2 linked regions of the Danio rerio genome follow. The protein of the gene in region 1 interacts with the protein of each later gene in a pairwise test. Links are inferred from orthologs where the notes say so. Each region holds a gene or a part of one and is shown on either strand. Other genes may lie near its edges. The genes, in order: suv39h1b and cbx5.

Region 1 (4,391 bases):
TTTGTATTTTGAGATATTTTTTATTCAGTGGCAAAAAGAAGCATCCTGTGCTTGGTACAGAATAAAAGCTTGTTCAAATAAACCCCAAGTGCTGTAAGTAAACTCACTTTTAAATTGTGTATGTAATAAGATTTAAGGTTTTATAAATAAGTAAAAAGATCAGCCTTTTAATAGCACTTCTATGTGGTTTTCCATCAAAATAAATGTTCTATAATACGAAAGTTTGCTGTTGTTAAATACAACAATTACTATTATTACAGAATCATCTAGTTTAACAGTATTATCAGTGTTAAGAATAATTACAGTGACATTTGTTTTAGGAATACTTTATTAAATGTTATTTATATTGCAAAATATTAGTTTTAAGCTCTTATTTATTATATATGTTTGCATATAATAAAAGTATATTTTAAAAAAAATTACATTTGTTATTACTAGTATATGAATAGCAGTTCCGAATAGGGCTGGGCCAATAAATGATATTAAATCGAATCGCTCCAATCACAGCAGAAATGTGCAACAACAGAAATCTAGAACTTTGTTGATATTAGACATGCAGCAAATTTTTGCCCACCGACAATTCATCAGCTGAATTTATGTTATGCCATTTAAAGTACCCTCTAATTTTTGTGGCTTCAGTCATTGTTGGGCTACTCTTTTAAATCTGGATGCATTAACAACTTACATAGAAATGTATATCGTTACGGTTCAATATAGAAAACAATTATCAAGACTGCATTTTTGCCATATAGCCCAGCCCTTGTTCCGAATGCCAGTTCCTCCTATTGTAAATCTGAAATCCTTTCTCAATTGTTATGTAGGATAAAAAAAATTGAAACTTGGATTTCAAATAAAACCTAATGCTTTACAAATGTGTTGTTTTCTGCTCACCTGTACTGTTTGCCTCTTCCCATCTGTGATAACTTTTCTTTTGTAGTCACACAAATATTCCACTTCATAATCACACAGGTTGTTCCTGCTGATGCCGAGCTCTTCGCACACCACTCCCTCATCTCGACAGACCACCTCCAGCTGCTCTGTCGTAGCAATGCATGCTACCCTGCAAACTTGAGCTATAAAACATGATTACATGTCAATTTTAGAAAAAAAAAGAGGTAAAAACGTGGGTAAAATCTAGATTACAGATGCGGACACGCACATCAATATAGCTTCATTTTTGTGACACTGTACAAGAATATTTATACAGTACTGTGATGATTGGGTTTAGGGTTGGAGTAGACGTTATAAGATACAATTTATTGGGTAATTTAATAAATTACATGTTTAATACTCAGTACAACTACTGTTTTTACATAAAAGTGATGGTTGGGTTCAGGGTTTGGGTAGGAGTAGATGGTAATAAAATGCAATTAATGGGAAATTATATGAATAATAAATACAATTTTTTTAACTTTTGGCTGCAACCATATCCGATCTAGCAACAACCGTAAAATTGGTGATGACAGATGTGTGCACGCTAGTAAACACGGCTAAGCTGTTGCTAACATACATGTAAACTAAAACTTTGCAGAAAGAAACATGTCAAAATAAATAGCATGTGAAAATAATATTATTGGTTAACATGCATACACACACACACATGACAAAATATAATTTTCTTTAAAAAAAAATTTTATGAAACAACCGTAATCACTACTTTGTACATATTTTGTTATGTTACTTAAACTATTAAGTTGTTTTGAAATAATATTACAAAAATGTATTGTAATGTACTGTGTATTTGTAAATGTATTTAATTAATTAAAAGTGAAATAGTCTTCAAATAATATTATGTAGCTAATAACATGGACTACAAACATTTTCAAGATATTTGATCATAAAACTCTAAAAACCAACAACAAACCAAAGCCAATTAAACCAACTTACAATATTGTCATGTTATCAAAGTAATAGCAACATTAAAACTTCTTATCAAAATATATTGTGAGAATAGACTCCCTAACAAGATAGTGATTATAGTTTCTCGTATAACTTTAATAAAATATATAACGTTAGATCTACAAAAACAATACAAAAGAGTAATGTACAGATCTGCTTCCTTCATGCTTTATGGAATAACGTTACATTAGTAAGTTAATCTTTACAGGGCTGGTCGCGAGCATCTTCGCTAACCAATGGGCCATTTAAACACTTTAACAAAGCTAAACTAAGAGTATTCACAGGCTGAATTGGTATTTTAGTGTATTCATTTGCTTTTAAATATGAATTACTTAGCAAAGGAAAATAAAAACGTTAGCTAAACACCGAAAAGTATGCTAAAACTGCGCATATGCGAGATATGTAACATTGTACAACTTAACAAAACTTCAGAAAACAATCTGGACAGGGGAACAAGCGATTGTCGAAGAGTTTGTTAAACGTGTTTCAGGAGCGCGCGCTGGCCATAACACCGACCTACCGTGAATTTGTATCAGCAACTTGCAGCAAATAATGTTTTAAAACTCGGGGCTTATTTCCGGGTTACCTCCGAGAAAACATGTCGTTTAACCAACTCGGGCTATAGATCAGACTTATATTGAATAAACTGTTGTTTGTGAACGATTAACACGGCATATTCTTACCTTTCAAATTTTCCGCCATCGTCTCACGCCGCCAAAACTATGGAACTAAAGGCTGCTCGGTGGTTGGATGCGCCCCGTCTGAGTGACGGGTTGAGCAACCAATAGTGGCAGAGTATTTAAATCGGGAAGAGTTTATGCAAAATGCCACATTCGTTAAATGTGTGAACTTTGAGGAAAAATAGATCTTAATTTGACTGATTTTACAGGCAGATATGGATAATATTTTGAAGACACTAACGTTAGTTATCTGTGAGATGCTTTCCATTTAACGGTTACCCATTTAATTACTCTAGAATGGTTAATTTTTGGTGTCCAGGCGAGACAAAAAAGTCAATACGATTTTTTGAACTAAGGCTTTAATTTCATAATCTAACATCTAGGAAACAAAAAGGCTGTTTACGTCACTCAAAGTAAAAACGGAGATGTGCTGTAAAGTCTTTTATTTTGCTTTTCGCCGGTTATGAAGGCGGCATAGATCTATCTATGCGAAGGCGGGACATGTAGAGTGTCATCGTCACGTGACAGTGTGACGTAAACATTCATGAACTTCCGGGAAAAGTCAACAAATGCGTTGATGTAAATACTGTCTGTATGTTTGTGCGTTTAGTTTTGCATTTCTGCGTGTAACATTTTATGTATTTGTACCTCCTTATGTAATTTTATTTCCTCTAAAATACGCAATATAGACAGGAGAAGGCCTAAACGGCGAAACCGGTTGTCTGCCAGCCTCTTATTAATGCGGCATAGACCATTTACTAACTGATTATAAGTACATTGTTTACAGTACAACCATCACCTTTAGCTAAACGACAAATAATTTAAATGTATTATTTTACAGGCGTCATGTCCTTCATTGCACAAAGTCTCCGGACACCAGTAATTTTCCTGGCGTTTCTTGTTCTCATAGAAGTGGTGTCGTTTGCTTCTGCAGATAAGGTACAGTTTTACTGGCTTATTTTCACCTGTATTCTTATGTTTTAAAACCTCTATATGTAAATAAACGTGAAAAAAGGCAACATTTCGAATGTTACCAGGTTTTGACATGTTATTAATGCAATTAGCATTTTTCATTCATTTTCCTTCGGCTTAAGTCCCTTATTTATCAGGGGTCCCCACAGCGGAATGAACCGCCAACTTATCCAGTAGATGTTTTACACAGCAGAAGCCCTTCCAGCTGCAACCCAGTACTGGATTAGCACTTAGCATTTTTTTATAACAAAAAAAAACTAAAACTAAATCTTTGGAGTATTAACCTATACAAACTACTCCAGAAAAGAAACCTTAATAGTTTGTCAATAGGTTTACATTTGCACGTTAATCAGCAAAATTGTGTAAAAGATGTCTGAGATATGGAGGAAGGACTTACTGAGGTTGATGATATGATTTAACAAAAGTTTTTTTGACCCCCTATATTTATACTAATGTGCTTTATATACCTATCCTAAAAATAAATAAATGAGCATAACTCTAACATGAATTGTGTATAATTTAAAAAAAGTTCAAATTCCTTGCTAAATACTGTGCCTTTCTTCATTTTAGAGAAATCATTTGTCTCTTTCTGAAAATAATATGTTGCTTTCACAGAGTTTTGAAGATGTGCGTTGCAAGTGCATCTGTCCACCTTACAGAAACATCACTGGACATATATACAAAAAGAATGTGACCCAGAAAGACTGGTAAGACTCTAGACCAGGGGTGCCCAAACTTTTTCTTATGAAGGGCCAAAAACCAAACTTGATTGAGGGTGGTGGGCCGAAGCTAAATATACCAAACTGTATTACGTTAAAGTTGTCATAGAAACTTTTTAAT
Region 2 (2,849 bases), on another chromosome or scaffold:
GCATAATCCAGTACTGTCTGAGCGATAGTTTTCATGTCTCAGGACCCCTGGTATGTGTTTCAGCATGTCTTAAAATGCATGAAAAGAGACTCAGTTCAGATACAATGAAAATGCTCTTAATTTAAATACTAATGATCTGGCTTACTTACTGGGGTTTGCTTGCAGTTAGACGGGGCATCATGGAAAAAATAAAATGCATTTTCTTTTAGTTTTTTCCAAATATTTTTGACCAGTTGTAATATTCAGATTTAAAAATGTACCTGTTCAAAGAAAAAGTGGTGTAACTGTAAAACTTGTTAAATATCTTAGCAGAAAAAACTAATGCTTATTTGAATGCAAAAGCTACTCTACAAAAAATAAAGTGAAGAAAATAGTAAATGTTTCTTAGCCAGAAAGTGAATGTTCATTGTGTGAGATACATGCAAAAATTCAAGGCAATTTACATTCAAAATCATAAAAAATGATTCACTGTCACAATAAATAGGGATGTCCAGATCCGATCACATGACCAAAATTCAGGCCCAGACGTGCGCTTTCAGAATCGGACGTTAACTTCTGATCAGGACTCGAATAAATAAATATATATATATATATATATATATATATATATATATATATGTGTGTGTGTGTGTGTGTGTGTGTGTGTGTGTGTGTGTATATATATATATATATATATATATATATATATATATATATATATATATATATATATATATATATATATATATATATATATATATATATATATAGCAGTGGCACAGAGTTAGACCACTTTCATTTGGTCAAATGCCAGCAAAGTAAAACATGAAAGCAGCGTAAATCGTGAGTATATCTGTGATTTGGAGGTATTATAAATTTTATGACGACAACATTGCTATAGCAAACGGAGTTGTTAAAATAAGGTGATTTAATTAAAGTATAAGGAACATCCTGGATCTGTTTCTTAGCTCTTCTTTATTCTTTTTGTTTGTGTTTTAGAAGTATCGGATTGGTTTTCAGTATCGGTAGATTCTCAAGATCAAATGACTGACTCGAGGGCAAAAAAGCTGATCGGGACATCCCTAACAATAAACATAAAAAATTAAACGTGAAAAGTTTGTTACAGGTTTATGAAAAAAGATGTTCCAAAGCAGCATTTTGTGTCAGTAGCCTATTAAAAGTCAAGAGATTTTGTGCCCAAATTATTATTTTTTTTATAACTCTTTATTGGCTTATTGTCACAGTATCTAATTGTTAGGTTTGCTTATTTGTGTTTGAACATCTTCCTTGAATTTAGAAATCATAGAATTATGGCAAAATATTACATAAAACTTCACATGAACGTTTAGCCTGTATTAGTTTGCACCCTTGATTTGAAGAAATCCAGTGGCTTTAATAGATCATGCATTTATTGTCTTGCAGGAAACACAACACATGGGAACCAGAGAAGAACCTGGACTGTCCAGAGCTCATCTCTGAGTTCATGAAGACCTACAAAAAAGGAAACAGTGCAAGCCCACCAAGCAGCAAGTCCTCCAGTACAGGCCCCTCTTCAGCCCGTCCCAAAGACAGCAGTGGCAGCAGCAGCACCAGCAAGAGGAAAAACTCTGAGGAAGAGAACGGGAGCAGCAGCAAACCCAAGAAGAAAAAGGAGGTAAAGTATTTACAGAGAGTGTGAGAGAGCTCACACTTTAGAGTTATTTGCATGCTATTACCATATCAATTACGTCCAGTGTGCTGAAATACTTTCTCAATTGTTTCTCACATCAATACTTGCCTAAGTGGCATTGGGAAAGGGTGACTATTGATTTTTAACGTGGTTTTGATTGTTGTTTTTGTTTTTCTTAGGATGAGATCCTTGTAGCGAGAGGGTTTGAGCGAGGCCTGGAGCCTGAGAAGATTATTGGAGCAACAGACTCCTGTGGAGACCTTATGTTCCTTATGAAGTGGTGAGTACTACAGAGTATTGCATGTGAAAAGCTGTTTATTTCAGTGAAACTGTTTTGCTCAGTGCTTGGAAACAGTTAATATCAAGTCACAAAATCTGGCCATAGATTTATTAAAGCGATAGTTTACACAACAAATTTTACTCACCATTTACTTAGCCTCGGGTGATTGCAATGCTTATAGTTTCTGTTTTTTTCTGTTAAACATACTACTAAGATACTACTAACAAATCAGGGACTAAGCCGAAAGAAAGTGAATGAGAGAACAAAATATATTTCGAAGAAAAAAACTGGTAAACATTGGCATCCATAGTAAGAAAAACAAAGAATAAACAACTCGAACAGGTTTTGACAAAGTGGAGGTTGAGTAAAATGATGCTGGGATATTCATTTTTAGATGAGCCGTCTCTTTAAAATCTAAAATCAAGGCCTCTTTTTTTTCAAAACAGCTTTTAGACTAAAAATTAAGTACTCCGATTTTATTTGGATCCAAGCACATGGGGACCTCAAGATACATGCTAATGATAAAAATAAGGCAGGCTGTGTTTAGCTGGACAATTTTGATTGAATCACCTGAAGTGGAGGTTGAAACCATAGTGTTAATCGCCACATTTACACCTGCCATTATGTCTGGAAATTATTCTAATGTCCCTTTTTAAAAAGCACATTCACACCCTTTGTGTGACTGAATAGGATGGAGGATGAGGATGGAACTGTTCATTTCTCTCCTTTCTCCAACTATTTACAGTTGTATGTTTGAAAGCGTTCAATGGAGTGTACACTCTGCATTTATTTGTTTACCTTATTTACAGTTTACATCTGTTTTTAAGTAATTGCATTTCTTGATTAGTAAACCAACTTTAAGGTTGTATTTAGCTTAGCAAACAATTTATGCTGGATTTTCTGTATAGATCCGTTTTTTGC

What was found.
Region 2: the proteins of suv39h1b (region 1) and cbx5 interact in binary tests that used the Homo sapiens proteins (3 or more experiments, as listed by UniProt). The link is inferred for Danio rerio from reciprocal best matches to the Homo sapiens genes SUV39H1 and CBX5.

The regions. Positions count from the first base shown.
Region 1 is NC_133183.1:27,656,329-27,660,719, forward strand, and holds the start of suv39h1b (histone-lysine N-methyltransferase SUV39H1b), read right to left. Parts: upstream 3,012-4,391; 5' UTR 2,602-3,011; coding exon 2,583-2,601; intron 1,074-2,582; coding exon 892-1,073; exon of another isoform or gene 1-891. Other genes in the region: proton-transporting V-type ATPase complex assembly regulator TMEM9 isoform 1 precursor, read left to right, coding at 3,405-3,518, 4,167-4,258. UniProt on the Homo sapiens protein: Histone methyltransferase that specifically trimethylates 'Lys-9' of histone H3 using monomethylated H3 'Lys-9' as substrate. Also weakly methylates histone H1 (in vitro).
Region 2 is NC_133198.1:39,405,830-39,408,678, reverse strand, and holds part of cbx5 (chromobox protein homolog 5), read left to right. Parts: intron 1-1,401; coding exon 1,402-1,633; intron 1,634-1,827; coding exon 1,828-1,928; intron 1,929-2,849. UniProt on the Homo sapiens protein: Component of heterochromatin that recognizes and binds histone H3 tails methylated at 'Lys-9' (H3K9me), leading to epigenetic repression. In contrast, it is excluded from chromatin when 'Tyr-41' of histone H3 is phosphorylated (H3Y41ph).